4 linked regions of the Schizosaccharomyces pombe genome follow. Changing the gene in region 4 together with the main gene of any one other region gives a genetic interaction. Each region holds a gene or a part of one and is shown on either strand. Other genes may lie near its edges.

What was found.
Region 1: mutations in spf30 (region 4) and SPOM_SPAC977.17 together harm fitness more than expected from each alone (negative genetic interaction), as found in Schizosaccharomyces pombe (one large-scale study listed by BioGRID).
Region 2: mutations in spf30 (region 4) and ngl1 together harm fitness less than expected from each alone (positive genetic interaction), as found in Schizosaccharomyces pombe (one large-scale study listed by BioGRID).
Region 3: mutations in spf30 (region 4) and iss9 together harm fitness more than expected from each alone (negative genetic interaction), as found in Schizosaccharomyces pombe (one large-scale study listed by BioGRID).

The regions. Positions count from the first base shown.
Region 1 is NC_003424.3:61,946-71,904, forward strand, and holds SPOM_SPAC977.17 (MIP superfamily protein), read left to right. Parts: upstream 1-4,734; 5' UTR 4,735-5,197; coding exon 5,198-6,994; 3' UTR 6,995-7,876; downstream 7,877-9,959. Other genes in the region: SPOM_SPAC977.15 (dienelactone hydrolase family, implicated in cellular detoxification), read left to right, coding at 1,044-1,787; dihydroxyacetone kinase Dak2, read right to left, coding at 2,959-4,734.
Region 2 is NC_003423.3:1,123,606-1,131,155, forward strand, and holds ngl1 (peptide N-glycanase), read left to right. Parts: upstream 1-2,866; 5' UTR 2,867-3,022; coding exon 3,023-3,349; intron 3,350-3,424; coding exon 3,425-3,601; intron 3,602-3,647; coding exon 3,648-3,807; intron 3,808-3,852; coding exon 3,853-3,891; intron 3,892-3,936; coding exon 3,937-4,235; 3' UTR 4,236-4,363; downstream 4,364-7,550. Other genes in the region: GTPase-binding protein Rid1, read left to right, coding at 1-528, 578-680; ribosomal lysine methyltransferase Set10, read right to left, coding at 839-2,482; mRNA processing protein Cft2, read right to left, coding at 4,364-6,384, 6,448-6,820; SPOM_SPBC1709.16C (aromatic ring-opening dioxygenase), read right to left, coding at 7,291-7,473, 7,547-7,550.
Region 3 is NC_003423.3:2,962,869-2,970,589, reverse strand, and holds iss9 (nuclear export factor), read left to right. Parts: upstream 1-3,981; 5' UTR 3,982-4,067; coding exon 4,068-4,715; exon of another isoform or gene 4,716-4,765; coding exon 4,766-4,895; intron 4,896-4,963; coding exon 4,964-5,373; 3' UTR 5,374-5,485; downstream 5,486-7,721. Other genes in the region: protein ess1, read left to right, coding at 1,795-2,268; origin recognition complex subunit Orc6, read right to left, coding at 2,383-2,995, 3,054-3,235; bmc1 (Bin3 family regulator), read right to left, coding at 5,515-5,712, 5,755-6,363; plp2 (phosducin family protein), read right to left, coding at 6,915-7,263, 7,327-7,653, 7,698-7,721. UniProt on the Schizosaccharomyces pombe protein: Required for transcription elongation. May also be involved in pre-mRNA splicing.
Region 4 is NC_003421.2:1,379,295-1,386,939, reverse strand, and holds spf30 (splicing factor Spf30), read left to right. Parts: upstream 1-3,395; 5' UTR 3,396-3,514; coding exon 3,515-4,450; 3' UTR 4,451-4,885; downstream 4,886-7,645. Other genes in the region: akr7 (pyridoxal reductase), read right to left, coding at 1-138; chaperone EMC4, read left to right, coding at 2,327-2,908; cell wall alpha-1,3-glucan synthase Ags1, read right to left, coding at 5,536-7,645. UniProt on the Schizosaccharomyces pombe protein: Involved in spliceosome assembly.

The sequences.
Region 1 (9,959 bases), on a different chromosome or scaffold from region 4:
CAGAGTAATGGTCGAAAAAATAAATATTTTGAAAATTTTATAAAACGGTAGAAAATGATTTATTTCATTAAAGACTCTTTTTAAAAAAAAAATTATTCTTCATAATCATTAATAAACCAACGGTCAGTTACTTGTTAAGCAAATACATGTTAGATCTTCAGTTGCTTATTAAATTAATTTTTTTATTAATGAAAAAGATGTCTTTTACTTCGTCAATTTCTTCTACAAAAAAAAATAAATATCACTATCAAAGGGAAATCGCTTAAGGATATCACTGTTTACTCGTTTTTCCCTTTCATTTAATCATTTCTCAGAACGCAGTAATTTTTTTTGTCTTCCACTTACTTTCACTTCCAACGTTTGTACTTTTCGGGTTATCTTATTTCCCAAAGATACAGAAAAAACATACTACCGCAGATTTACAAAGCCATTAGCCGATTCTTTCCAAATCGATATTTTAGCTTCAGATTCAAAGGTTTTCCTTATTTATTGAACTTACTCAGTAGTATTCTAGAAAGTTATAAAATACCTTTCTTTATTTTTAAGAATTAAATAAATTAACTAAAGAATTAAGACATTTGAGAAAGTTAATGCATAATAATGTTCATATCCCATCAAGCTACATATGGATTGTCTTATTAAACTTATGTACAATTGCCATACGATACGAACAGTATATGAAAATCAATAGTTTTTCTTCGATGTTAAGTATATAAATAAATATTGGTCATGCTACAGATTCTTTATATTATATAAATAATAGCCCTTTTAAATTGGAAGCATTTCACAAGTTAGTAATAAACGTACTTTAATTACCAAAGCAAATTCATATACAGAATCTTCTGATTGCATGTTGGCTAAATTAAATTCATTTGTATATCTTTTATTCCTTAGTAACTTTTGGATATCTAGTTTATGGCCAACTCCGCGGAAAACGGAGCCCTCGGTTCCTCGGGTTTGTACCGACTATACTTTATATAATTTCAAAATGAGCACTAATTCAACGTAAATTCTACTCTATTTACTACATTCGAAGTAAAAAAATGCCTTGCTGCCCAACTAAAAGCGGTGCGGCCCCTACGAACCGTAATTACGAACTCCAAGGCGAGATGCTGAAAGACATTGGAGGGATGCAGACTTACTTCACTGGTAAGCGCTCAAGTAAAGTTGTTTTAATTGGATTTATGGATGTTTTCGGATTAAGTAAACAAATAAAGGAAGGAGCTGATCAGTTGGCAAATCACGAGCTTGCTATTTATCTTCCTGATTTTCTGAATGGTGAAACAGCCTCTATAGAAATGATAGATCCAAAAACGATTGAGCAAAAAGAAGCACGTAGTAAATTTATGGAGAAAATTTCTTCTCCACTACATTGGCCTAAATTAACAAAGGTCATAGAGGACATTGAAAGGATACATGGTCAAGATGTCAAAATAGGTGCTTATGGTTTTTGCTGGGGTGCCAAAGTATTGATTACATATCCTAATAAAGAAAGATTCTTGCGTATTGGATGTGCGCATCCATCTCTTCTTGATCCTGTAGACGCTAAACATGTTCATTGTCCAGTTTGCTTTCTATGTTCAAAGGACGAAGATCCTGAGGAAGTTGATGCTTGGAAGAAAAGTTTCGAAAACTCTCCATATTTTTCTGAATCGTATTTTGAGACTTTTGGAAAAATGCATCACGGATGGATGGCAGCTCGAGCCAACCTATCGGATCCTGAAAATCGAAAATATTTTGATTTAGGTTACCAAATCTTTTTAAAATTCTTTAAAGAACTTTTTTAAATAGTATTGGTGTCGCTTAGAGATTTTTGGATTAGTTAAGAATAAATATAGCACCTGTCGTTGACCGCCAACAACATTTGTTAATTTCATATTCAATAAAGTTTCGTTAAGTGATTATAACTACTGCAACTATTATCATTTTCAATTGAGAGTAATTATAGGATACAATTTCAAAAGTTTAATGCGGCCTAATTTATTTCCATATTCGTCATATACTACCTAACTAGAAATTTCTGAAATTACAAAAATTTTTATCAATCTTAAAAGAAAAAACTAGGCTGAATGCTTTATAAATTCATCCATTAGCTGCTTCAATAAAACGTACCTTTTTCCGAATTCGTACAAAGATTTACGGTCTAGTTTTATGGTTATAATTAACTAGCTGTTTCATAACACAGAACGAGACAACTTGAAAGTGTGCGGATCTCCTTAAGGAAACACTGAATTCATGCAAGATATTTTTTTTTGGGTTTTCTAGATTTCAAATTTCTTCATTAAAACAAACATAATAAAAAATTAATCGCTTACTTTATTTGAAGAAAAATTACATTTTAGACAAAATAGTTTGTCCAAAATGTTTATTGGATAATAGCGTTCTCTGTCAACACATTTCACGTAATTTTCCGTCTAGTATTCAGCAAACATCTACCAAGTGCTAAGAATCAGAAAGGTTGGCTAAATGATCAGTTTATGATCGCCGACCGAGTAACATGTCAGTCTTTTGAAAAAAACCATACAGTGCATGTGATTGTCTACTTCGTTTTCGCTTTACAGATCAGATCTACATAGCATTTCGGCAGGTAAATTCGTTTAACAATTTCTGCATGTAATTCTCTTTTTTTGACGAATTGTAAGCTATAACTACTGCAATATTTTCACGTTCTCCAACGCCTCCTACAAATTAATACTAGACAATAGGACCAAAAGTGTAAATAATACATCAGTAATCATTTGATCCAAGCTTTTTTATTCGCAATATATTGATTCTTAAAAGAAAGTTCTAAAAAAGCCAGTGGATACAAAATTTAATCAAACATTTTGTAATTATGGTGAAAATTTTAAAAGAAAGCCAAAACAATTTTAAACTCAGGTTACATGATATGCCTTTCCAACATTAACTATGTGCATTATTAACATAGAGCCAAATTCTGAGGTAGTGATAAAAAACGCTTTAATGTTCGCTTGCCTCAACAATTGCGTTCAAAATAGCGGCCAATGCAAAGGCACCAGGATCCGGCAATCCTCCCTCACTATCAAGCTTATGAAGTTCTTCTTTAGCAACATAAGATGCTCTTCCAACGACAGCATCCATTTTTCTAGTTTGTTCAGAACCTTCAGTGGCAGCTTTCGCAGCAGCATCAAGTCCCTTACCCTCATTTAAAGTTTCAACAAATGGTTGAATAGCATCAATAAGCGTTCGGAATCCTTTACGGGCTCTAGTGTATTTGAAAAGAGCGTCAAGTGCATACTTGCTTGCAAACGCAAATGTATGCACGGATAATTCGGAATCGCCTGACTCATGAACTCCTTTGGCTAGCGCAGACAAATAAATCGAGTAAAGACCACCCGATGTACCTCCCATCGAATCCTCAACAATATAGGCCAAATCGTCAATACCATTTACACCATCATCCAATCGAATCGATTTATCATTAATAGCCTTTGTGATGGCCTCTCCACCATTCACAAGGGTTGTTCCACAATCACCATCTCCTGCAATCGTATCGTACCAAGTTGTCTTTGGCTCAAATTCATTGATAGCGTCAACGGCAGCTTTTAAAATTTTAGTAAACATCTTTGGGTCAGCCTTTACACCGCTGTGCTTCTCATTACGGGTATGCTCCAAAGCGGGAGCTGTTGGCACCTTGCCGTCAGCCAAAACCTCCCAGTCCTTTGCGTTATGATAAGAAACGTTCCATCCACTAGCGGTTGTTGGCAAGTCAAAATATTTGAAAATATCTGGAGTAGCCTTAGAAGCATTGACCAATGTAATTCCAAAACCAGGACCGTTCAGAGCGGTTACAAACGTACCAGACATGGTTCTTTTAGGAATGATACCTCGTTTGGCTAATTGTTCCGAAACTACTTCAGTAGCATATCCCAACTCTAAATTGGACATACCACCCATATTGTTTACTAGAAGGATAACATCGTCTTTTGAAGAAAACTCTACGAAACTATTGTCCGGGTTTTTCTCACCAAACAAAATTGAAAGCATCTCTGTAACTAGCTCGGGAATAGATGGAAGTGGTGATGATTTGAAGGTTCCAGGCTCGTTATGAATACCCATGCCAATCTCATACTCGTCTGGACCCAAGTTGGTTTCAAATTTGCGACCGGGAACGGCGCAGTGATCCAATGAAGCTGCTATGGTAGCAGCATTGTCAATCACTGATTGGGCCACTTGAGCAACTTGATGCAGATCCAATCCTAATGCTGCTGCAGATCCCGCAATTTTGTGTACTAGCACAGTGGCTCCTAAACCTCTTCTTCCTACGAGTGCACCTCTTTTTTTGCCTACAGAAACATCATCTCCTACGGCAACAAGCTCAACGTTCATTCCAGCTGCCTTGGCTCTCTCAGCTGCCAGGCCAAAATGAATAATATCGCCTGTATAATTCTTGACAATAATTAAAGTTCCCTTAGGAGAAGCAACAGCTTTGAGGGCAGAGTAAATTTGTTTAGTAGAGGGAGAAGCAAAAATGTCTCCACAAGCTACAGCGTCCAAGGCTCCATCACCAACAAAACCTGCATGTGTAGGCTCGTGCCCACTACCACCACCAGACACTAAAGTTACTTTAGGAAGATCACCAGAACCCGGGGCAGAAGCTGTCCTGTAAATCACACGATCATGTTCAATAACAGTAAGACCAGGGTTACTTCTAGCAAGTCCAAGCAAGTATGGGCGTACTATATGTCCGTCAGATACAAATTGTTTTACAGACATTTTTAATTGAAAAGAAACGTTCCCTTCCTGCTTTTTTATCTCATTCTTTACATTACTACTACCCCGCGCGCGGTGCGTTCTAAGATTTGCAAATATCCGGCATACCCGCCTAGCTGACCAATTGTTGATTACGGTTGAAGCGGCAGTTATGCGAGTGTGCAAACGCATTGTATAAACTTGTCCAATTCAGGGAAATTTATAACACATATTCTTAATATTCTGTAGATAAATTGATTTGCGCTTAAGATTCGTCACCAAATTTGTGCCGCCACTACACGTTGTCATCGACGGTTGCTTAACTTCGGTTATCTGGACCACTTGCATGAGTATATAATGCACTGTTTTACTCCACCTTATTCCCAAAGCTATTTCAAACCTTAATTTTGGTATTCCCGCCAGTACCCGCGTGCATTCAAAAAATTTCCATAAAAGCCAAGATTTGTCCCGTCTAATTCACTACTAAATGAGCGTCCCTTTACGCTTCTCGACACCATCATCATCTCCTTCAGCCTCAGATAATGAGAGCGTGCATGATGATGGTCCCACAACTGAATTAGACACTTTCAATACGACGGACGTGCCAAGAAGAGTCAATACCACTAAAGCTCGACAAATGCGTCCCAAAAATACCCTAAAAGTTGCGTTCTCTTCACCCAACCTCAAAGGCCTGGACAACACTGCCGACTCGGATTCTCAACCCTGGCTTGGTGGGTACCTTGCTGGAAGACTTGAAGATATATCCGGACAATCGCGTCGAAATTATGTTGATCCTTATTACGAAGAATTGAATGCTGGGAGGAGACCCAACAAACCGGTGTGGAGTTTGAATGGACCATTGCCACATGTTCTTGGTAACTCTGTGGTAGAAAAAATATCTCAAAAGAATCAGGAAGCTCGTTCTAGAGCAAATTCCAGGGTGAATTCCAGAGCAAATTCCAGAGCAAACTCCTCGGTCTCTTTGGCTGGTATGGATGGATCGCCCAATTGGAAACGGAAAATGAAGAGTGCTGTTTTTGGATCAAGAGTCAAGCTTAATGATGAAGAAGCTCAATTGCCGCGCAATAAATCTTCCGTTTCCATAGCGGAACAAGCCGCTTCAAGACCCAAAGTTAGTTTCTCGCTTCAAAGCAGCCGTCAACCATCCATTGCTGAGGAGCAACCCCAAACCCAGCGTAAGTCTTCCGCGATAACGGTAGAGCATGCGGAAAATGCTGAACCAGAGACCCCAAGAAATAATGTTAGTTTCTCTAGGAAACCGTCAATAGCTGAACAAGATTCATCTCAAGATATTACTATGCCTCCTAATGAAATTATTGCTGAAGAAAGTTTAGACTCGGGAAGCGATACTGAAACCCTGTATCTCAACTATTGGTGCAAGATTAGACACTTTTTTCGTGAGGGTTTTGCTGAGTTCCTGGGCACTTTGGTTTTGGTTGTGTTTGGTGTAGGCAGTAATTTGCAAGCTACCGTCACTAATGGAGCAGGTGGAAGCTTCGAATCCCTTTCTTTTGCTTGGGGATTTGGTTGCATGCTTGGCGTTTATATAGCTGGTGGAATCAGTGGTGGTCATGTCAATCCCGCTGTGACTATCTCATTAGCCATATTTCGCAAATTTCCTTGGTATAAAGTGCCAATCTACATTTTTTTCCAAATCTGGGGTGCATTCTTTGGAGGTGCACTTGCCTATGGTTACCATTGGAGTTCAATTACTGAATTTGAAGGAGGCAAAGATATTAGAACACCGGCAACAGGTGGTTGTTTGTACACCAATCCAAAACCATACGTCACTTGGAGAAACGCATTTTTCGATGAGTTTATTGGAACAGCCGTTTTGGTAGGATGTTTATTCGCCATTCTAGATGATACCAACTCTCCACCAACCCAGGGCATGACTGCTTTTATCGTTGGTTTGCTTATTGCAGCTATTGGTATGGCTCTTGGATATCAAACAAGTTTCACTCTGAATCCAGCTCGTGACTTGGGACCTCGTATGTTTGCATGGTGGATTGGCTATGGACCACATTCATTTCACCTGTATCATTGGTGGTGGACTTGGGGTGCTTGGGGCGGTACCATAGGAGGTGGTATTGCTGGAGGACTTATTTATGATTTAGTAATATTTACGGGCCCAGAGTCTCCACTTAATTATCCAGATAACGGGTTTATCGATAAAAAAGTGCATCAGATTACCGCAAAATTTGAGAAGGAAGAAGAGGTTGAAAACTTGGAAAAAACAGATTCTCCGATTGAGAATAATTGAACTCTTAATAATCTTTCATGTCACAAAATGCAGAAGATTGAAACCATTTACTTTTTATTTATTTATTCTTATTATTGTGGAGCAGCTTTTCTCTTTATACTAAGCATATATTAGCTTTTATATTATCTTTTGAGATGGACAAAGAGCTATGTCTTCCCCATTTTTTTTGTTTAATTTAAGCACTAGGGTTTTGTTGTGTTACTCTTTGTTGCTGTAAAAATTTTCAGCTTCTTAATGCTTGGGACGCCCTTATGTTGTTGCAATAGCGGCAGCTTCAATTAAAATTGATTTCATATCAAAAAAGACGATTTTCCCATTATATTGCGGTGTCTCGAATTTATTACTTCTTCCCTCAACTTACTTTGAAACCTAATTTTTGGATTCCTGTTGACTTCTTTTTTACGTTTTTGCGTATTACCGATTTTTCTTCCGCTTTGCGTAACACAATTTTCTTGCTCTCTTCTTTACTCTATGTACTGCGAAAGTAGTACGATTACCTTGTATGATTACTTATATTGCCCAACCCCCTTTTCAAGTTCAACTTTGACCGAAATTTTCTCTTCTCTTTTTTGCTATTTATTCATATATCTACCTGTAATTTTTAGTCCTTAAAACATTTGGTTTTTCAAAACAACAGATATTAAAAATGGCCGATATGACCATTACGTCATGAAATACTTGCTTCTCTATTTGGTTAACATACTTAGGATTTAGCTAAATTAGTTAAGATATCAAAAAAGTTTTAACTCATATCTAAAGATTTTTTTATTTAGAATAATTGGACGTTATGTTATGATATATAATTTTATGATTCACTTTTGTCGATTTTGTTAAAACATGTTTTGTTAATATTTAAAAGCTCAACGAGGATGAAATTTTTCTGTACATTTTAAACATAAAATACATTCTAGATATTGAATGTAATACCAATATTTTCATGAACACGCTGTTTAAAAAATATTTTTCGGTAACCCATTATTTGGTATTGTTTTCGTATAATAGTTAAATAATCAAACTTCTATAAAATTATAAAGCAAACCAACGACTGAAAGCATTTTGTAAAAAAACTTATAAAATCAGTGGGAACAGCTTGTAGATTCACTAATGTCATTATATAAACCGATTATTTTTCCAAAGGCATTATCAAAATTTATTTCGGAATGCAAGGATTCCCGTAAAACTAAAACCGTAGTTTATTAAATTTTAAAATTACTTTCATTTCCAGTATTTTTACGGTATGTATTTATAAAGTTCAAACTCACTTGGAAATTGAATGTCCGGAACCCTGCTTTTTATGTTTAATATCCGAGTTTAATATATTGGATATTCCAGTAGTCATTTTATGAATACCAAACCTCTGTTTTGGGAAGAGAAGAACTAGTATGCGATGGCAAATATTTTTTTTCTGTTTTAATTAGACGATATTGATAGTGACAAAATGAATCAACTTCGCAAATAATATTAATTAAAAGTTTTTACATGTAATTCGCAGCCGTAATAGCAATTAAATTTACTAATTCAGGAAGCTTGCAACTAGAAAACGCTTGTTTAATTTGGCTCCAGTATTGTCAGTTTTCTGAAAAAAAAAGCTCGCTTTGCCTCGGCGGTCTATTTGTAACGATTATACTTCTATCAGATCTATTAATCCTAACTACAACTTGAAATGATTTCTTAAGCGCGTGAAATAAAAAAATCTCAACTCTGAGAAACCGCAATACTTACTTGGGATTTCTTTTTGTGTACATTTTACTTCTGCTTATAGCGTTGAGAGTAACTTGGTAAGCTCTGAGCAGATTCTACAACATTTATGACTAAAATGGCTGTCTTTCAATTAGATATTTTGAGCGGAGCAAGCATGAAGCTGCTATCAAAATATAATATCCATAAAATCATTTACGAATGAAATAATACATTCTTTTCAACCACACGTAAAAAAATCTTTAAAACCATGTGCAACTTTAGAAATGTTCTAAATTTCGATGTTTCCACAAATGTAGACAAAATATTCAGTCCCACATTTGCGTTAGATTTTACTATAAATTACGCCTCCTTACTCAATAACTGTTTTTACTTTGGGTCGATGAGTCTGGACTTGGTCTAAAAATACGGCCCCTCAACCGAACATTTATTTGACCGGCAAATATTAAAGAAAGGAGACGAAGTATTTCGAAAATACATCAACTCACATTTAAGATAGGATGCTGCATGCAATGGAAAGAAGAAAAAAAGGGGCTGCTTTCTGTAAGTTGTATTTTCTAACAATTCTAGTGCATATTCCATGAAATGTATTGTGTTATTAACGGCACAATTTATTAGTTTATTAATAATATATTAAAAAAATAGGATAACTGAAAAAGATATTCCTGATAATATAATGATCCAGTGCAAGTACAGTTTGAGCATTGAATATTCATATCAATGTTCATAAAATAAGAATATGCGGTATACAATGAAATGATAGTTGAGTTATTACTTAAGAAGAGTTCGGTTGAAATTTTCAAAAAAATAGCAGTCAAGAAAATTTCAAGAAGAAGAAAGAAACATTTATATATATACATAGTTTAATCCATTTAGATATTTCTGCTTAGTACGAATATCGAATTTTTATTCATGAAAAATACTCTGGAATAAGATGATTTGTATTTCGAATGTAAAAGAGCAGTCCAAAAAAGGCGCACATACACATAATAAAGTAAGTTATAGAAGTGTGTATATGTAAAACAACACAATAATTTATTTTCATTAAGAAAAACCACTACAGTTTTTTTATAGTGATTTTACTATTTAAATAGCAATCTTGACAGTAATGATTTGTTTCGAAATTATTTATGAAAAGAGATAGTGCGGTAGTAGTATGTGAAAGCAGTTAGAAAACAATGGTTAGACTTCTCTAAGCACGTCAAGTAAATAACAAAAAATACGGACCTTTCCTTGAGAATTTTATAAATGACGTTTTATCAGTTCT
Region 2 (7,550 bases), on a different chromosome or scaffold from region 4:
ATTGGAATGTTTATCTCAATCCACTTATAATGTCGAGCGATTGATTTCCCTTTTGCTTTCAAAGAAACAGCCATGTGATTTTGTCGTAAGGGAAGTACTCGTTCAAATAGTTCACTCCTTTTACAAAGCTCATCTCGACAAAGAAGAAGGTGCAATGCAAGTTTTTTCCTTGTTTTCTATTAAAGACGATAAGGATGAAGAGGTTGAATTCTTAAAAAACGTTCGAGTTGATCGACCTTTTCGCCGTTGGATTATCGAACTTGAAGATGTTAGCCGTAATGTCTTCTGGGTGTGGAACCACGATTCTAATGTCATTGATTTGGAGAAACAATATAATCAAGTGTACGAGGCTCCATTGGGGTTTATTGGTGGTATAGAAACCGAAGCCACCAGCTATGTTGCAGCTCACATCCATCTTATTAATGAATTACTCGAAGGCTTACCTTTAGAGAAACGTCAAAGAAAACGTTTGGAACTCCAGCTAAGTGGATTAGAAAGAATCATGGGGTTACGGTTTCGAAAGAGCAGGTAAGCAATTTTTTTCAATATTTATATAAGCAGGCACTTACAAATCTAGTCAAAAATTCCATAAGAAGCTACATGAAGCCCTTCGTGAATGGATAGTGGCTGCTAAAATTGATGATTGGCCATACAAACTTGTGCAAACTGGATCAACCTAACTTTACCCTAATTTTCTATGCACTACAATCATCCTATGTATATAAAAGACACTAAACACCTTAATCATTTATCAAAATACGTCTTGTCATCTACTTTACCTAACCCAATATTGGAATACTCATCGTACATTATATATTAATCGCTTAATTTTTATTTATCAATTATGGGCAATAATAAAGGTAAATCCAGAAAAGTCGAGACTTTCGTCATTTACCAATTGCAATGCCCAAGAAACATTTTCTTTATTAAAATGCTTGGATTCCCCAAATACGTTTGTAAATTGTTGAAAAAACATTTCATCCAAGATTTCAAAGACTTCAACACCTTCTGGATTAGCAACGGCTGGATACCCTTCCACAAGCATACTAATTGAGAAAGGTAATTTTTCAGAAATAGATAAACAATATACACAAATCAATATCATTAAAATATCCTGCTCATCTGTAGCGACCAATGCTTCAGCATCGGTTGAACCATAGAGACTCTCAATGGCATGCGAAAGTGGTGCAAACAAAGGATGTTGCAAGAGGAAAATAGATATCGAATTAAGGATGAGATATTGCAAAAGGTTTGGAAGAGGTTTGTAAGTTTTTTGGAGTGATTCTTCCATATAATTTTTGACATAAGTGATGGAGTCTTGAAGAATATTAATCTGACTATCGCGATAAATTTTGGCCCAAACCTGCCTTTCAGAGGTCGGAGATACTTGCGGATTTGATTTTAACAAAAGGTCAGCTCTAGAGTCGATGTACATAAGTAAAACTTCCAAGGACTTAATCTGGCCTCGTAAAGAAGGGACATAAGAAGCTAGATCACCCGTCAACAAATGCGCTGTCAATTTTCGAAGTTCAAGAGAAGAGGCAGTTACAACTGCTAAACATTGAAGAATCTTTTGAAAAATTTCCTTATCTGGGGACTTTGGCAAAAAAAATACTAAATTGCTCAACTGAAATTGGCAATCATTCTCAAGAATGGCAGCTTTTTGATCTTTATGCGGTAAATCTGGATGAATAGCTACTTTTAAAGTCACTGTATCAAATGGGTTATCAGGTAAGCAAAACCCATAGCCCATTAGTAACTCTTCGTTGCCCTTTGGACCGTAATTATTAAACAGCTGGTTGCCTTTTGCAACCAACTCTTGGGAAATTAATTGAACAGATTTTTCATCTTGAAAATCACTATTCCACAAAATTGGCTGCTTTGGTTTATGATTCAGACTGTCAATGAGAGGAAGAAGAATGGGAGTAGACTCTGAATCCTTATATATTAGATTGGATGAAAAACATCTAGATGAGAAAACAGTGGCAGACCATATATACAAATCGAAGGTAAATCTTTCTGTAGGAGATGGGTGCAAACTTAATGCTTCTTGATACTCATGCTTCCAGATATGCAAACGCTCCTGAGCAGCAGAGTACGCATTTGTGGATATCAAAAAGGCGTTATCATTTTCGTTAAAATAAAGAGGGGTGTTGAATGTTTTAGGTAGATACTCAATGTACCCGTACCACTTACTTTGTATACCCTTCAAGCTCTCCAATGCTAAAAATGTACAAAGTGTTATATGAGGATTGCAACTCTCAAAATTTGGATTCAATTTTTTTAATTCCTCTTTCGCCTTGTTATATGTTATTGCATACTCAAAAGGGCAGGATATAAGTAATTGATCAGGTGCTATATCGTTTTGTGCAACAGCAATATAACTACCAAAACAAGCGTTATCGTCTCGACTTTGGATAAATTCGACAGATTTATGAAGCTTGCAGCCATTTTGCAAGGCTTCGTGTAGTAATTTCTCCATTAAAGTAGCGTTCGTATAAAAGAAGTAAATTAGAAAAAAAAAAAAATTGTAAAATTCCAATAATCAAACCATCAAAACTGATTTTTGCTTTTTAAAAATGAAAACAGACAAAAGAAAAGTGGAAGATAAATTATACCATAAAATTAAAAAGTGGTAGCAGAGTGCCGCCTGGCTTCGCCTATTGCTCAAAGGTAAGGATTGAAATACCCTGAAACCGCATTTGGGTGTTTCTCCCACAGTTTTTAATGCGGATAACCGCCATTTGTATTGTTACAAAAAACTGTATCGATGCTAATTAGTTTAAAACGCTTGTAGTAATTTGCAATTGATAACAATTTGAAGTCTTTATACTCATAATTAGACTACAGGAAAGCGTTGTCTTTTAGAATTTAGCGTATATTGTGATTCGTGAATACATTACCCTCATTTTTTGTAAATCAATCCAGTTTTACAAATACCTTCTTTAATTTTTTCTTTTTTTTTCTTTTTTTTTGTTTACAATCGTTAGCTATTTTCTTGAAAATAGGACATTTGCTGAAAATGGATTTTCATGCGATTTCTCAACGTTTCATTGATATGATGAGAAGCAAGAATTCCCAGAACGCTTCTCAGCCTCCAGAGACATATCCCTTTTATCATGAAGTACGTCAAATGTCACAACACCCGTGGATGTATGAAGACCCAGAGTTGCAGGATTATGCTCTTAGCATTTTACCACTTGACAAACTATTTCAAGATGCTTCTGAATTAGAAAAAGAGGGAGATGGATCTTGGGGTTACCAAGATTATGTGATTCAAGCCTTGTTAAAGTGGTTCAAGCGAGAATTCTTTGTTTGGGTTAATCAACCACCTTGCGAAAAATGTGGAGTATGTTTTATGATTGACGGTGTAGTCAATTTTTTGTTCTTTATCCGTACGATATAGAATATTGACAATGTGTAGGGTGAAACTCATATGACAGGCAACGGTCCCCCCAATGAGGAAGAAAAATGGAATGGAGTCCGCAACGTAGAGCTTTATCAATGCAATGTATGCGGGCATAATCAGAGATTTCCCAGGTATAATCGCATTCGAGCATTGCTTGATTCAAGGAAGGGAAGATGTGGAGAGTGGGCCAACGTGAGTTAAAAATATTTATAAATATATAAAGCTAACATTTTCTTAGTGTTTCACTTTCCTATGCAGAGCACTTGGATCTAGAGCTAGGTGGATTTGGAATGCTGAGGACCATGTGTGGACGGAAGTCTATAGTAATAAACAGCAACGCTGGGTGCATGTCGATAGTGGTGAAGAATCATTCGATGAACCTTTGATATACGAACAAGGTAGAGTTCTAACTCCTTGAAAAACTTGATTTCTAACAGCATTAGGTTGGGGAAAGAAGATGTCATATTGTTTGGGTTTTGGGAGTACGGAAAAGGTTTTAATTTTATTTGTTACTAATGCAAAAATAGTCGATAGTGTTCGCGATGTATCGCATAGATATATTCGTCACCCTGAGAATGGTCTTCCTCGTGATCGATGCCCCGAATCTGTCCTACAACAGGCTTTGCATGAGATTAATATTGAGTTTCGGTCCCGACTAACTGATTCTGAACGTAAGGCTCTAGAGGAGGAAGACAAACGTGAAAAAGATGAACTTGATGGTTATATGCGTCCTGTTTCCCAGGCCACGCCCACTAACACTGACCTGCCAGCAAGACAAACGGGGAATGTTGAATGGAAAGAGAAAAGAGGGGAAGCAGGAAAATGATTGTTTCATAAAGCTTTACGTTCCGTTTCTATTACCAAACATTTATTAGTTATGTTGTACATGAATCCTTTCTAGTTACTAGCTTTTTTTTTATGTAATCCTAATTAAATTTTTTTTTCATACATTAGTTAAACGACAGCAAGTGCATCGTAAACCAACTTTCGAATTTCAAAAAAGCGGTTGCTCAAACTGCCCTCAACGGATATTTTACCACCACTGAGTTTTCTTACGGCAACAGCTCCCCCACATAATAAAACACCTTCTCCTTTCAATTCAGCAGAAATTCCTTGATCTAAAAGTGCTTTACGGAGATAGGCAAGCCGAATATTACCTACCAAAAGTGGAGCAGCCCTGGGCGCTCTTGCCAAGTCTGATCTTAAAGTCAAGGCGTTAAGAACAGGAAGTGTCTCTTTCTCTTCTTTTTTCTCTTCATTCCTTTCTTTATCACCGTCCTTTTTCTCAACTTCTTCCTTTTTATCTTCTTCTTCAGAAGGTTTAGAGATCTCAACCTTAGCCAGCATATGTGAAACTTCGCAATTGCCAACTTTAGTCCAAATTAAATTTTTAATAAGATCATCTGCTAATTTAAGACTGAATGCATTAACATCGATACTAACATTAATGATTTCACCATAGTTGGGTATGTAAACGTCCTTGGTAAAAGCACTGAGAGAGGCGCACGTTTTCTTCATATCTTCTTTCTCTTCAGTTGAAGCATGAATAAGGACAAGTCTTCTAGGATTTACCTGTGGTATAATAGTTTTCAAAGAACGTCCATCATGCAGACCCTCAATATCTATGAACTGAACTTGACATGAAACTCGGATAGTTTTTTCATCTGTTATAATTTTAGAAGGAACTTCATCCTCATCCTCTTCTTCCTTTTTTTGTTGTAGACCATCGTTTATTTCGGACCATTTTCTTTTTCCGTTAGAATTAGATAAAGCATTATCATCTGAATCATTTTCCAATTCCAATGTGTTAGCAGGTTCGTTAATCATAGAAAAGTCTTGATGTTTGATAATTTCTCCATATTCATCTATCCTCCTTCTCTTCTCAATGTATGGAAACATTTTATACTTGGTATGTAAAGCTTGGACAGCAGGATCTCTCAAGTTCAAATCAAAAGACTTTCCCATTAGGAAAGCAGAAGATCCAAGAGCCACATGGGGAACTTCTGTATTCAAATCTAAGTCGTCATCTTCTGAAGAAGATGATGATGAAAGGTCTTCATCTAATATGGTTCTGTTACGAAATTCCAAAGCGGTATCTTCCGCATCTTTATTTCTCTTGCTGAACTCAAGTTCTTGATACGATCGCAATTCTTCCCCCTCCAAAGGTTCTTTCGTTTTTATCTTGACAGCTTGTTCAGCATACAAACCGACTGGATGAGGAATATCACGTTTCTTTTTACTAGCACGTTCCCAATACCTGATGAATTGGTTTGCAAGTGAGTTTTGAGGGCATCTGGATCTTTGTGTAAACAGTATTAAGTCATTTGAATTTTCAGACATCAAATCTAACAAAATTCGCTGAGAGAATCCGCATTCCAAAGTCAACGCGGTAGCGAGGATCACTTTGGGTCCGGGTCCTATGTGAGAAATCTGAGAAAAATCTGTAATCGTATTTATATTTCGAAACTCTAATAAGTTTTCGTTGATCCCAAAATCACGAACTATATTATCACCCATCCATTCAATCATACTTTTAGCATAGTCAATAGTTTTTGTTGATGTAGGGGAAAGGAATAATATAGGAAATGGTAGAGGCGGTTGACTAGCAGACCAATGGTTATCTAGAATACAACACAATTCTAATACCCTAGAAGCGGCATCTACAGGTAATAAAACAGTACCGCCCTTCAACAAAGAAGACATAACAGACTCTATGAAAGCTTCGTCACGCTTTTTACGGGAAGGGATAGATACGAGTGAATTGTTAGCATCAGTAATTAAAGTATTTGGTCGATTGAGAGCTTCTAATATATGGCCATTCGAATATAAGGCAGCGCCGTTTAGATGTTTATCTTTAGAATGGTTCCAGTCAACAGCGTACAGAACGCTTTCTGATTCTTTTATAAGACTCCACAAAGTTCCTCCCAAGGTATGTCCAGCATTATAAGCAGTAATGGTTAGCCCACTACATTTTCCTAAATCATGAATTAGTATAATCAAAAGTTCAAAAGACTTTTTTCACAAGAACAATTGCTTACCTAAAAGTAATGTGGGTTGTTGATATCTAAGAGGAATGATGCTGTCAAAAACAGCATCTACATCAGCTTTGCTCATGTCTGAAATATAGTTGGATTTTATTGCATCCAACATAGTCATCCGACCCATATTAATTGTTGGTAAAGTAGCATATATATACGCATTTTTCCAGTCATATTTATAATAAGCATAAACCAATCCTCCTATATGTGCTAAATCCGAATGAGATAAAAGGATTAAATCTGGTTGTTCGGGTACTTCCGGATGTTTTAATGAATCATCGCTGCCAGGGTCTATATAGATATGAATTCCATCTAACTCAATATGAGATGTTCCACAATAGGAGTCTGTCTCTAAACATTGATAGTTGAGCATGGTTATTGCCCAAAGACAGGACTTTACAACTCGATGGTAGTAAACAGTGGGGGTTGGATGGCTATCAGAAAGAATATATCCAAGCGATACTATAATATGAAAACTTGTCAATCTTCTAAATTGACCAGTTTTAATGTCTTTATTATAACTAAATCTTTAGTTAATCTAAATCATTCAACGAGCATATTGGATAAATCGGCTTCGTAATTTTTATATATTAACAAAGACGGATGTTTATTAAATACGGTTTCTTGGTAACATCATTAATTAAAAATATACCATGTAAGGAGTTGAGTTATAAGTGACTGGTATAGATTATCAATTGGCGATTTATTCAAAATGCGCTAATTTTAGGAAATGGTTCATCAAATCGAAAATTGTCCTGAAAGCATTAAGTGAATTATCAAAATAATTTTTAGCTTTTAAATTATCACTCTGTAATAACAAATAACTGTAAATTAGACATTGATTCATTCATCGATTCCAAAAAAAGCAGAGACGGCGCCATAGAGGTCGCAAACGACCTTAGATTTCCCAGAGCTTCCTAGGCCCGCAGCGACATATAATGGAACAAAGTGTTCCTCGCGTGGGTGTGCTTTTCGAAAATAAGGGTGTAGCTGTAATCCTAATAATTTATTCAGACGATCATTTTGCTATAGGTTCGAAATTAGTACAAGAAGTTCAAAATATTGTGCACTCATCCTCAACGACAAGTAACATACATACCTTA
Region 3 (7,721 bases), on a different chromosome or scaffold from region 4:
GCGAGCATGGAGGAAACGTATGTTACTTGTGTTTACTTAGTATTTTAAAGGCGAATAAGGAGGAAGCGTAACGGGCTGGTGAGTGGTCCAATATGCGGGCCTTGGCTTCTAACTCTGCTTATTGGTGAATCTTATGTATTGTAAATCCCGCATTTTTTTAGTCGATCCTTTGTCGATCAAGCTGCACGCGAGCTCACTAAAAATCAAAATAGCAGAATGCACTGCTCTAGCATGTACAGTGTCCCAGTAGATGTAAAAAGAAAGCGTACGTAGTTATGTAATTCCAGATTGCCATAGGCATCTTAGTATAGCTAATATCATCCCTGCTTAGTATGGACTGTTTATATCATTATTTCTACAAATATTACTATGATGGTATTACTTATGATCATTACTGTTGCTGTTGTAATAAACTACTATCATGACTAAATACCATCATTGACTATTATGATGTTTTTCTCTTTTTCCCAACCTCGCTATTCAAACATGAAACATGTATAATCAACTATTGTAAACACTAACTCCAATGCTGTCTCAGCGACTGCCCAGGACTACCTAGTCTAATTGCAGTACAATGGTACCATTTGCAATCCCGACACATGCGATAAATATAGATTATTCACGATTTTCGCACTTTCAACACTTTTATCATCCTCGCTCCGACAATATTGTTTCTCGTATAGCGTCATGTCAGTCGTAAACAGGCCTGAATAATGTCATCTGTTTTTTGTTCTGGCTCTTTGAATGATTCTCGTCGTTAAAGATATGAAAAAAAAAAATTGGCTTAATAAGCTCCTCAACATACACGCCACACCTCTTATTCCTCGCAAGCACTTACTGAATCACTCTTGCTTCTACAAATATGCAGATGTTTTATTGGTGTCAATTTTCAAAAAATACCACTTTACCATACCATACCATACCAGTCGACCTTTAATCACCCTAAAACATTAACCTTTTAGGGATCCCTAGTGAACACAACGTAAAATGCTGCAGGCTAGAATGACTGGCCTTCCCAATTCTGGCTAAGTTAATAAAGGTAAAGAAATAATGTGTGTAAAGGGCAATTGCAGATGAAGGTATACATTGAAATGCTCACACAAGTTGTAATCAATCAGAAAGCAAATAAAAAAGTTGCATGTAAATTTGTCTACGGTAAAGCATTAAATGAAATATGGACAAAACACAATAGTTGGAATTTGACTATTTGCCGTATAAATTCGTGTAGCTGGTTATCTGTGCTACGGCATTGCGAAAAGTACAATATGACTTTTAACATTAAAAATGATACCAAGTATTCGAAAATTACTTGCTGAATAATGATTGTCGAGGATATTTGGCATGTTTTTATATTAGACTAACTATGTATCCGTCACTAAGCAAACTCCAAGTAATTCACTCAAATGAACAGCTATCTTAGCTGATATTTAGATTTTGCCAAGTCTCATTTAATAATTGACTATGTTATATTCTTCATCAATATATTATTTCAATGAGAAAAACGTATCCAATTACTTCAAATTTAGCATTTCTGTAATTTTTTAATTTCATTGAAAAGTATGCTTTAATTGAGTTTTTTTCTGCCCCTCACATTCTACGGACTTAAAATAGGTGTATCTATTCATGCATATTCATTCATTCACCATCGTAATCCACCAAAAGGCAAATTACTCTAATCCTCCAAAATACAGATTCGTTTCGAACAACATACCCATACTCTACTATCTTCTTGTTCTTTCAATTTATTACATATAACGGCTTGTTAAGCTGCATTCCTAGAGTTTCTTTCGCAATATGGGAAAATTTGCTCTTAACTTAAACGCTGAGTTGACTGGTGTGAAAAATTTAGCTCCCAAGGATGAAGAATCCTTCTATTATGCTTTTAAAGTCCAATGTAGTGGTTGTCGAGAGATTCACGACAATGCCATTGAAATCTCCCGCAGCGAGACTCACAGCATACCTGGCAGCAAGGGCGAGGCTAATCTCATATGGACGTGCAAAAATTGTCGCAAAACTTGCTCTTTCGTTATAGAGGGGCCATTCTCTCCTTACAATGATTCTCAAGAGACGAAAAAAGTTCTCGTATTGGAATGCAGAGGATGTGAACTAGTCGAATTCATTCCTCAGGGAGAATGGATAGCTAATGGTGCTGAAAGTAATACACTTTTTGACGAAATAGTATTAGAGGATGATTGGTATGACTATGATGAAAATGCCTCTTCAGAAGTGTCTATTACAAATTTGGAGTGGTCTATTAGTAAAGCTTAGAGTCTAATTTAACTTTTTTTTACTCATGTATTTGTATATATCACTAAAGATATCGTGTACCCGTTTATAAATGTTGTTTAATGTACAAAAAAAAATTAATATAGTAAATTGTATTCATGAAGCAGTACCATCTTTTTCAAGCTGGCTTTTGTAATATTGGATTCTTTCTTCAATGCAGGCCTTCCATATTGGATAATTTTGAAGTCGTTTTTCGTAATCTATTTGAATCATGCTTGCTATCCCACTCCAAGGTTTTATCCGTTGCTTTTGAGATTCATAACCCTCTATACCATTTAAAGGGATTTCTTTATACTGCCAACTTTCTGAGAGGACATGCATCCAATACTGAATTTGCAATGCAGAACTTGTATCCTGTAAAACACTCTGTGCCTTTCTTCTCTCGGTGTGATTTATATGAAGTTCGTCTTTTCCAAAAGCTTTTGCCGATACTAGTAAATAAGCTGCGATTATGATGCCTCTTTTGTGTTCGATGCGCATGTCGTTTGTAACAACGGCTTTCACCAATTGTTTAACATAAGGTATAGCAGTTGAGCCCCCTAGTTTGGTACAAAGATAAGTAATGGTTTCCATCAGATCATCTTTAGCTGCTAAGGATTTAGTTAATGGAGATAAGATTTCTTGAAAGTAAGTGAAAAGTTTATAGTATTTCTTTTTTGGAATTGGAGTCGCTAGTAAATTTATTTCCAAATTTAAATCATTGGATAATCTTTTTAAAGAGTCAGAACAAGTTCAAGTAGAGTAATTAAACATCAGAAGTTACTTACAGTTCACAAGCTAAGTGCGCTGCCATATAAGGACGGCATAACTCTTCTGTCGCCTTTAGATTATGTTTATATTTGGACCATTCCAAAAATGACTCTCCTAAACTAATAAGCCGTTCATTATATTCTGTACTTTCAGTGGGAATTATTCTGCGTAAAGACTCTATAATCTGTTGTCGCTCCATGAGAAAATGAATATATTTAATAAAACTTTTATCATTTAATTTTGATTATTAATTATTGAAATCATGTAATCATTCATAATATCATAATAGTGGTGAACGCTTAGTTTGTTTTATGTCAATATGGTGTTTAATACAGAGACATTTAAACGATGTTTTTAATGCTGCTAATACTACCAGCTGTTTCAAAAATATAAAATCTATCTACTTGATGCACCACTGAATTTGGTGTTTATATTCCGTACTTATTTAATATGACTCTTGCTTAATCATTCCGGTTGCTAGTTATCTTAAATAATGTCACCAAAAGCTTAGAATTTAGACCTACATTCTTCAAGATATTACTACAAAACTTTCGAAGCAGTCTTCAAATTTTTTTTTATTTAATAATGAATTACGATTGCTTTATTGGGAGGTAGTGTTTTAGGCTTGATAATTCGGTATATTACTCTCTTTTAGTAGTTTAATCAAGGCTATATGAGGCATACAGAATAAAATATGCGTGAATAGCGTGAGTTAATATTAACTACTTTCCATGTTGGTTTCATAAATTTTAAGCGAACAAACAAGTTTAGGTGGAACCGTTGAATTATTTGATGACTTTTTAAATTTTTAAAGGAAAAAATGATGAACGATCAACTGAATAGTAATAAATTAATCCTTATTGATTGAAAGGTTGGATAATGAAATCGACTTACAACGTTACTGACAGGGTTAAGCTGACGGACTCGCACTTCTCATACAATCTCGGTACTCACCACTTTAGCAATTGAGGAAGTTGAGAAAAGTACTTAACTTTAGCATTAATCATATAGCTCAATGAAAAATATTAAATATGAAAAAAGAACATCATAGCCCTTGGCCGGACTCTTTGAAAGAATTTATTGGTAGATGCATCCAAGACGCTGAGGAAAACAGCCAGCCAGAATTAGAGGATGAAGTAAAATTGCTAATTTCTCGTCAATACGAAATGGGAAACATATGGAATGTTGATTGGTCTTCTATGAATTTAGAATCCCTAAGGAAACTGACAAATGCTCAAAATACAATCATCGAAGATAAAAAAAGAAAGGTTGAGAAGCCTGTTTCTGGAAATCAATTTTCACTTTTAAGTGAAGAAGATGAAGTGGATAAGAAAGAAAAAAGAAGAAGAAGGTTTGAAAATGGTTCTCGTTCTCAAAATAACGCTAAATCTGAAGAGCTAAAAGTCAACCCGGAGAATGGTGCTATTATAGGACGGTCCACAGAATTAGAGAAAAGGTATTTGCGATTAACTTCGGCTCCTGATCCGGATACTGTTCGACCCCTTCCAGTTCTTAAGCAAACTCTCGAACTTTTAAAGAAGAAATGGAAAGAAGAGAAAAACTATGCATATATATGCGATCAATTTAAAAGTTTAAGACAGGATTTAACTGTGCAAAGGATTCAAAATGAGTTTTCTGTATTAGTTTACGAAATACATGCTCGTATAGCTCTTGAAAAGGTACGGTTAATTACTTTAAAATATCATTTCTTCTTCTAACGTTCGACTAGGGTGATGTTGGCGAGTATAACCAATGTCAAACTCAATTATTTCATCTTTACAGTTTTGGTATACCAGGGAATACTAAGGAATTTTTAGCATATCGTATTCTGTATATGCTCTTCACTAAAAATCGATCTGGTAAGTTAATTACGGCTTACTGCTTAAAAGAATATATCTTTTGAATTCAAATTATTAACAATTTATAGAAATGAATAGCCTTCTCGCCAATCTAAAAGAAGAAGACAAAACAAACGCTGCTGTTACACATGCATTAGAAGTCCGTTCGGCGATGGCTACTGGCGATTACTATAAATTTTTCCATCTATATTTAGTCGCTCCCAACATGGGAGGTTATTTGATGGATCTTTTTATTGAGAGAGAACGAGTGCAGGCGATGATAATGATGTGCAAAGCATATCGCCCTTCTCTTACAATGGAATTTTTGGCTAACACACTAGCATTTGAAGAAATGGAAGATTGTGTAAACTTTTTTAGGAGTTGTAATGCTGTATACGATTCAAAAGATCCCAATCGCATACTGATGAAAGAAAGCACGGATAGATTCGAAAAATGCATGAAAAAGCATGCTGTGGTTGATATTAAAGGCCAAATCTAATAATAAAACTACTTCATTCCGCTTTTCTTTCTTTCCTCATATGTTGAATTAGAGAATTTAATAAAAAATGAGACACGTCCTTTTGGGACATTATGCTTTATAGTTCCAGTCATTGTCTATTCTTAACGTTTTACTAGACAATTAAGTAGAAGTTAATAGTTTTATGATTCCAATTCCTTTTTTTTTATAGATATACATTGTTCGTTTGGCAAAATTCTTGTACTCAGAGTTATTTACTTGAGGTTCGATACTGTATTCAAGCACTAGTCCTGCTTGATTAAGCAAATGTTCAAACGCATCAGGTTGGATTTTGAGGTTCTCAGGTGTTTGATTAAAAACCTAGAAAAGTAAGAGTTAGAAGTATTGATAGTCGTGACTTACAGATATTTTTTTTGCAGCTTTCAAGTACGAGTCCCATCCTTGAGGTTCTAAAATAAGAACACCATTCGTTTCCAATAAAGAACTAATCTTCCCAAAGAATTTAATGATTCCTTCATCGTGGTTATTTAGATGCACCCATTTAGATACGGATAATGCTAGTATTATTTTGAATTTTCGTTTCGATTCCCAGCGCAAGAAGTCAGCGGTCTCAAATTCTATATTGTGAGGGAAATTTTGCTTATTGAGAGGTGGTTGAAGTTGCACTGGTATCCTGGAAAACTTTTTAATGCTTGAAATGGGGTAATAATTAAACTGGTCTTCTACAATGGAACCAGGATTGCGTACAGGGCCAATTCGAGAGCTCACAAACTCAAGATGTTTTCGAGCTTTTTGGATGAGAACATGATCGATATCCAATCCCAAAACAAATGATGCACCAAATATTGAGGCAATTTGAGCAGACACTGTCCCATTATTGCATCCTATATCTAAAACTGAAGCCTCATAAAAAAGGGAATCAGGCAAACATTTAAGTCTTGGATCGATAATTGAGGTTCCTCCCCTCATGCTGTAATAACTGTGATAATTTCCATGTTGAAAATTCGACATCCCAAGTCGAGGAGGTTTTTCAAATCACCCCTATTTTTTATAAAAGTATAAATTTTGCAATGGAATTTAAACGAAAACTTACGAATCGAACTATTTAAACAAAAGCGAGAAGTTTCAATTTGTTGTTGTTACTAATACATTAACGATGTTTACATATCTTGAAACTCAACGTCCGACTCGTAAAAACTAGTCTTAAAGCATCCAACAATTTAGAAAGGATCGCTAGCGGTAAAAAAAATAATATCAAAAATATATATATATATATATTATCCTTTTAGCAATTCTTCGAAAGTTATTTTACTTTTGTATGTACCTCGATTTCAACGTCTTTTTGCAAACTTATCTTCGAAGGTGTTTTTCCCTTTATGACTAAAAATTTATTGCTTACGTAGACAGGTTAAGATAGTTTAAAAAATGTTTAGTATATGCAAAATATATTTCATTCTAATTACAAGAACGATTAGGTGGGCTTTTTCTTTGAACAAGATTCCTTCATGTAAAATAGCAAGATGAGAATAGTTTTACACTTTATAAGTCAATTCAATCTAAACTCAATCAAAATCATCATCCAAATCGTCATTAACGGAAGAATCTCGTTTACCTAACTCATCTTCTGCATTTTGTGGATCCTTCAAAGCTGCAATATCACTGTCCTTTAAGGCACCGGCTCTAACCAATGCTTCAGCTACATCAACTACACTAGTGTTCATTCCTCCTAAAGTAGCTAAGGTTAGAATTTGTTGTTGTAAGTCTCCATGACCGTATATCAAAAGAGTTGGCATCATCGCTTCAGGATAATTTTCGACTGCTTGTTTTCCGGGAATTTTTACAAATTTAATTTGGGGATACATTGGTGCTAGTCTCTCTAAGATAGCAGCTAATAATTTACAGGCCGGTAGTCTTGAATTGTAGTGTGTTAGTATTGACCCATTGAAAATGCAAACAAATGAAGAACAAACGTACGAGTCTTGGAACATATGCACAACGACAAACACTTCCTTGCTTGCATCTGTGACTTCAGCTGTATATTCTGGTTTCGAAATAGGATATACTGAGCCAAATTTTGCTTTTGACATTTGATCCTTCCACTCCTGCATCCGCTTGTTTCTGTACATTTGTAAAAACTCATCATCTTCTTCGTCCTCAAGCTCTGCTAACTCATCTAGATCCTTGTTTTCCAACCGATTCTCGTGGGCAAGCTGCTTTGCATCGACCAACGCATCGTCTAAAACATCATCCACATCAGGTTCTTTTTCGGGTAAAATTCCCTTCGAACGTAAAATATCATTCCTGATTTGTTAACTTCTATTGTTACAACTATTCATCCTCCATACCATTCGGTATCTTCGTCAGGATTC
Region 4 (7,645 bases):
CCAATAGTTCGAACCTTGGGACAAGGCGTAATTCATTAACTCAAAGGCTTGTTTAATGGGAGTTTGCTTGGGTCTCCAAGTTAAACCCATAAGGCCTAAGCCAATAGGTCCTACTTTAAAACCGTTCACAATAGGCATTGTGAAATGACAGTCAAATCGAGAAGAAAAATAATTTTAAGAAATTCTCTAATTCTCACGAAAAGTAAATGTCTACTATACTTTCAGTTCTGGTGCAATTGGTATACCAAATAGTTTCAAAATGGGGAAAACCAACTTGAAACAAAAATCAAGGAAAATATCGTCTGTTTATGAATCTTCAGTAATTTGTATTTCGTGAGCGTCAGTATAAATTTTGTTCTGATTTATAATTTGGAGGGATGTGACGCTAGTCTTACAACATTCAACCTTTCCCACACGTTTACTGTTGATTAGTGAAATTTCTTATTTCTCTGCTTTTTTAGATAACATTGATTTATATTTTTTTGAATTATGTTTTTACAGTGGCCCTTATCTATAATAAACCGTGATCAAGTTTCTGTACCCAGGTCTCTGAAAAAGGAAAGGTTTTTTACGGTTCATATCATGGGTGCTTGAGTTTTTTAGATCATTTTATAATTTGATCAAATGCAACAGGATACTGTTATTATTACTTTACTCAGAAAACTGCCCAACGGTCCTTATCCCATTCATTAGTGTTTCGTATGAATTAGGCCAGAATGAAGTTAGTTACAAAAGCGCGAATTGCTTTTATTTGAGGGGTCTTAGAAAACTGTGAACGGTATAAAAGAGCAGTAATGAAACAATGGAAACTAGAGTCGTATTTAATGTTGTTCAATTTCCAAAGGCTGCCTTTGAATTAGTCGTAGCAGCAATTCTAGCAAACAAGCTATTTGAAAATAAACAAAGTGTCTTTTATATTTCGTTGAATATATTTATGTGAGATTCGAGTGCAAGGAGAATCATTCCGTTTTAAAGAATGGAGGACTTGAAATGGTTTATAAATTGTAAAGAATTTCGTTGAAGGTTCACGTTGTTTTCGACTTTGCTCTATCATAGCAGAACGGCAAGTTTTTCCTCTTGATATTATATATTTTTAAAAATTAGACGCTCGGTCTTACAAGTTATTTCAGGCAATATTAATATACAAGGACAATTATCACTTCTTATGCGCAGTCATATATCATAAACAAGAAGTCTTTTGAACGGAAACTCGAAACAGGAGAAAAGCAAGCATTATCAGTATCGGTAAGGTAATCAATAACAATACATTACACGATTAAAAAGCGATTATTTCAAAATAAATTTCCAGTAATGTTCATTTTTTTTCTTTATGCTTCGAAAATGCACTTACTTTTTAGGCAGAGTATATTGAGTCGTACAACTCAATTTTGGGCTTGCGGCAATATGTTAAAACTCATATTCTAGAATAAGAAAAAAATTCTCACAAAGAGTGCCCTCCAAAACACGTCTTCCTAAATATTTACACCATGAGTACTTTCATACTGTATCCGATCTTTGTTTATGTAATAGCTTGGCTAACGAGATTATGCTTAAAAAGTTACAAAACGATATGTTCTTTATCCATTGAATATTTGAAAACATCTCAGTGTAAAAATATCAATCATTGAGCATGGTATTACCATTGTAAGATAAAGAGTCAGAACTTTTTCAAGATCAAGATCCTATATCCATAAAAGAAACCAAAACTAATTCCAGCTGTAATCAATAATGATCGTTGGGTTTGATAATTAACAAGAAATCATTAACATTAGATGTTTAAGCGTTGTACATATTCATATCCGGGCCATGAGACAGTAGAAAACCAAAGAAAGCACAAAAGCAAGTTAATCTTGAACTTTTATAACAGGATGGCTTTCTTTTTGCCATTGTTTGCGCTTGTATTTTTGGGATTCATTAGCTGATGGGCTTTTCACTATTACCACCAGTTTCGTTCCTTAGCATCTGCCACCTCCACTATATTGTTTATTTTGAAATATTATATTTTGAGGCGTGTTCTCAAATTATTTAGACCAGAAAATTTTTAACTTCAACCAAAGTTATTAATTTGCTTGAAAAGATTGTTCTACCACCCAACTTACATCAAATAACGAAAAACTGAGATTGACTTCTGGTGAAATATCTTGTTTCAGAAACATCAAATAAGGCTGGTCTTCGTATTTTAGAAACATAATTGAGGTGCTACCAATACTTTTTGACTGTAGGTTAGCTGCAATCAGGCTTTTCATTCATTGACTAAATTTATTCCTTGGTTTACGAGTCCAAAAATTTAGTCGCAACTTTAAATTTCTCTTTTTTCCCTTTCAAGATGCACATTAACGAAGAAACAGATTGGATCGATTTGGTCAAACCAGCGTTAGCAAAGAAGCCCAAAAAGATCGTTGACAATTCTGACAAGTTCCCTACGCCTCGAGGATTTCAACAGAAGTCGTTGGTTTCCAAAAACATTCATTCAGGAAATTCAGCTTCCTCAACTTCCATATTTGCTAAACGAGAGGAAGAATTACAAAAGGATCTCTTACTAAAGAAAGCATGGGAGCTTGCATATTCCCCCCTTAAACAAATTCCTATGAACGCTATTTTAGCATACATGTCTGGTAATTCACTACAAATTTTCAGTATTATGACGACTCTTATGTTGCTTGTAAATCCACTGAAAGCAATAACATCTACAGGATCTGCCTTCACCCCATTTAAAGGCACCCACCCAGGAACCCTTTGGCCCGCTATGGGTGCTTATATTTTATTCCAATTATTGCTTATGGGGATTGGAGTCTATAAGCTGCAAAGAATGGGATTATTGCCAACGACTACCAGCGATTGGCTTGCCTGGGAAGTCTCGAAGGTCTTTATGGATCGATCTTATGGTCCTAGTAAAACTGTTTTGTAAGAATTTCATTTACTCCAAAATTTTAAAGATATACGAGTGAAATCGTTAAATTATAGTACCTCCTAATGCCATTGCTTCTAGCTGACCTAGAAAATAATAAATTCATATAAAGAAGGAATGCTTGGAGTTCGGAAACATATTGTCTTCTGGATTAATAATTTATCCTCCATTATGCGGCATTAAACGTTCAATGCCTTTAATCGATATCATGCACGCCATAAACGAACCTCGAAAATACTTGATTATCCAGTTCTTTTTACCCATCCATAGTTTTCGAGAGCATGAAATTTTTGATAGAATACTTTCTTTTACGTCTTGATTATACTGAATATAGAAATATCAAATATTCTTCTTTGTTTTAACTATTATCAATAATGTCTTAGTATATTGAGTTAAAGAATTAGTGCTTTTAGTATAAATTTAATCTCACTCCAATATTGTTTTCTTCACCCTAGTGTAATAGCTGAGCTTAATTTTCAGGCACTTCACTGAGCGCCTGCTTCACATATTATCTACACTTACAACCGGTTTTGGCGATAAAGCCATTACACTTGGAAATTTTTACTGTTTGAAAAAAAAATCTATTAAATCTATAAAAGTAATCGTATGGAGAAGGAATTAGAGGAATACAAGAGCCAGCTTGCTCTCGTTCAAATTTCTCTTCAGAAGACTCCCCAAAACGAGGAATTACAGTTACTGGAAAATGATTTAAAGGAATTAATTAGCCTTACTGAAAACTTACTACAAGAAAGTGTAGAAAATGATAAAAATACGTTTCAAAATTCCCAAAATGGTGTTGCAGGTTTCAATACTTCAAAGCCAGTACATATCGACTTTACGCCTGGAAATTTAGTAATGGCCCGATGGGTTTCAGGAGATTATTTATTTTATCCTTCACGTATTACTGCTGTTTCAGGCTTCGGTGCAAACAAAAAGTACACAGTACAATTTCTTGACTATCCTGACATTGAAACTGTTTCCCTCAAACATATTAAGGCCATGCCTGAGGAAAAACGTCAGGAAATAGAAGGAAATAAAGAAATTCTCAAAAAATCTACCACTATACGTAGTACACCTGTTAGAGAGCCTACAAAAGCAATATCTGTAGCATCTATGTCTACAAGTCCTTCCAATTATGCGTCTCGTGCCTCTTCTCCAGATATGAAGAGTTCGGCGGCTGTAACGGCTAACGTATCTCCGATCCAAAATGTCGCTCAGCATGTTTCAACCCTACCAAAGATCTCTCCCATTCCTCCCTCTAACCCTCCACCTGTTCCTAGTGTTTCATACTCCCAAAAGCAGCAAAAACAACTAAAACCTAAAGCAGCACTTGAAGCATCACAAAATTCTTGGAAACAGTTTGCTGCTCGAGGTGTAAAAACTGGACGCGTTGGCAAACGAAAGAAGATTGGAGAATCTAGTATATTTAAAAGCACTGAAGATTTTCCTGGAAGGACAAACCCTAAAAATTTTGGAAATGTTGCGAGGTCTGGGCATCGCGAAAAGCACATCTATAATTATAGAGAAGACGAAGATAGCTGAGCAATGTGTCTTCATTTGAAACTTGGTATTTAATTAATAGGCTTTTAACAGCCGCTGTTTATGTTTTCATTTATATATTTTTTGGTGCAATAAGCATAAATAAGCTTTTTACAGATCTTTAACCTAATTTCTGATGAAGCTGTCCTGGTTTTCCATATTTAACAAATTGTTCGTCGCATTGTCTACAGCTATAAAACAATTCTTTTGTTGTTGTTGGTGTATACATTAGAGAGGAATGAGTAATTAGAAAAGAATTATTACCTTTCGCATCTTAAGAATTTAACAGCCATAGACTACTTTTTTATATTCACATCTGCATACGGTTTTATGAATAGCATCATTACTATTTTCTGATGCGAAATAGTCATTTCGTTCTTAAACAATAGATCCATTTCCCGTGACATTTGCTAATTGTATTCCACCAAAATTTGACTTCTTAGTTTACAATAGTTGGTGAAAGTAAATCGGTGGTGGTACTATCTTGTCTCGCCATGCTCTTTTAAATAACGGCAACTTATGTTTTTAATAGCATTGTTACATGATAAACTGAAATATTCTATTTGTCATTCGTATTCTATAAGAGGTATATAAAGCCGTATATGTTGAGGGATCATCCACAGACAGCAATGAAAACTAGCTCCTCTAATATACTAGTATTACAAAAAATCTAATTGTATGAAAGAAATCGGTAAGCATACAAAGGGCGGATAGATTTAATTTTGTTTTAATGGAAACATGTAACACTTATCATAAAATGTAGATACTATGCTAATTGAAATTTATAATGCAATTTATGTATGACCAAGTGATATTCCCTTAAATAAAGCTTAGATATAACACATTCTCGTCAGCAAAGCCAAATGCCAACGGAAACTAGATAAGAATAGTAACAAGGATATGAGGAAGTTAAATAAGGTGGATATAGAATATAATGAAACATAACTTGAAGTATTCATTTAAAAGACCTGATGCTCAACAAGACCGAGCTTGGAGGATATTTTGTTTAAAACATCACAGTAACTGTACATGCTCCGATTTCGTGAACTTCAATTAAAATTTCGCTTTGTAAGACTAAGACTAGAAAACTAAGGACGACTAAGGTTTTCACGACGGAAGAAGGCCAAATAACCTACGCAAATAGCAAGTTGACAAATAATATTAATCCAAAAAGGTGCGCTTGCTAAGATTGAAGAGCCATCACCATGATTCCATTTAGTAAAGTCAATAAATACATTAGCAGGTCCCTCACGGTTGGGTGATGCACCACGTCCGATCATTGTAGCAACGGCACCAACTATCTGTCCAGTCATAAGCGTACTTGCTACGTGACGACGAGTTAATGTTTGCAGCAATATCATACCGATTCCAACACTTTGAATAGCATCTAACACCCCCAACCATAGCCATAGTGTACGACCAAGATAAGGACCGGAATAACCTGCCCACGGTAGGTACAAGCCAATATTTGAAGTAGCCCAAAATTGTTGCAACCATCTAGGAGCACCCAATCCGACACCAAAAACGCAGATAATCCAGGAGTGAGTTCGAGATATCCAAGCCAGGACTCCAAGTAGTAAGGCCCAAAGGACGATATAGAAAGCTACAATTAAAAGGAAAATTTGCCACTGATGAATATTTCCAATATCCCACAAGTAAGACCAGGAGCGCCCATTAAGAGATGATAGCCAGAAGTTTTGCAAAAAGACGGAAATGCAAAACCAAACCACCAGTTTTCTTCGCAAAAGTGACTTATAAAAGGCTGGTATACTACCAGACAATTGTCGATAATATTCCGGTAGACCCTTAAACAATAATGCAAAAATTAAGATACTAACAGCACTCAGTGGCCAAGTAATTGAAGGAATGGCGGGAGACATCTTAAAAGTATTAGCTTCACCAGCAGTTAATCTTTTATTGAGATGGGCACCCCAATACCACAAAGCAGCTGACCATACTTGCTGAACTCCTTGGACTAAGCATGCGCGGAAAACCCATATACGAGTTTGCACAGCACCTTCTTCACCAAAATTCAAAGAAAAGAAGATAGATCCGCTAGCCGAAGCAATGGCGTATATCCAGGCGGCAACGTTCGTAATCCATACACGTCCAGGAGCGACTGTGTCAAACGCAGGAAGCCCTACCAAAAACAAAGCAACCGCATAAAAAAGCCAAGGGATCGACAAAACGTAATAAGAAGGAAGACGAGCAAACATAAACCACCATACAAATGAAGCGCCGATAAAGAACGCGCAAACAGAGTAGATCTCGTACGTTTGAATATTGCTAGTACCGGTAAACAATGTAAGTTGATATGCAGTTGCGGCAAGAATCTGACCAAGTGCAAGGAAAATAGAATAAATCGGCCAGTCGTAAATCTTGAAAAGCATAAATTTTTTGAGACCATGAATTGTTTTAAAATCATCGTCTCCTAGCTGAGTGTAGTTGGACTCGTCAGTCATGGCGATTATATCATCATAAGAAGTTTGTCCATTGCTCAAGGATTCGGATTCTTCAGTGCCTGAGTGAGATGAAAGCTCATTGACGTGAAGTTTATTTGGCTTCTGTAAACCTAACTTAATTGCACGACGTTCATGGAAAAATGATCGCTCTGATTTCATTAAGTATTGTTCAATACACAAATCATCCTTAGAATTTTTGGCGTTTAGTTTTTGAAGCTTCTCAGAAAACGACCTTAATGCTTGACCGTCCTCATCAGTAAAAGTCTCTTCAACTCTCGTCAAAGAAAAGTCACGCTTTTCTTTTCCTGACATAACTGAGGCAAGACTAAGACTAGATTCAGTATGCAAGTTACCGTAAAAGTAAGGGTTGTTATTATTGCGAGCATTTGGATTCGAGCCAGCAACAAACGGGGGTAATGGTGGAGAAACAGAATCAGAATCAACAGATCTAGCAGGGTCCGAAAGATCGTCCTGACTAAAAGTAGCGCCCACAGCATGCTCAGCATCAAAACTTCCCATTTGAGGTCGGAAAGAAGGTGCATTACGAATGGTGGTGTCATCATCAAATAAATCATCGTAATAATAAGAACGCTGGGGATCAAATTCATAATCACCAGAATCAAAACTATATTCTGATGGAGAGTGAGAATCGGGATTCAATCGCTCAGCCCGATATCTTGAAATATCGGAACCACCAGAAGTAGAATCTCCAGCGGTCATGCTTTCTTCTTGAATA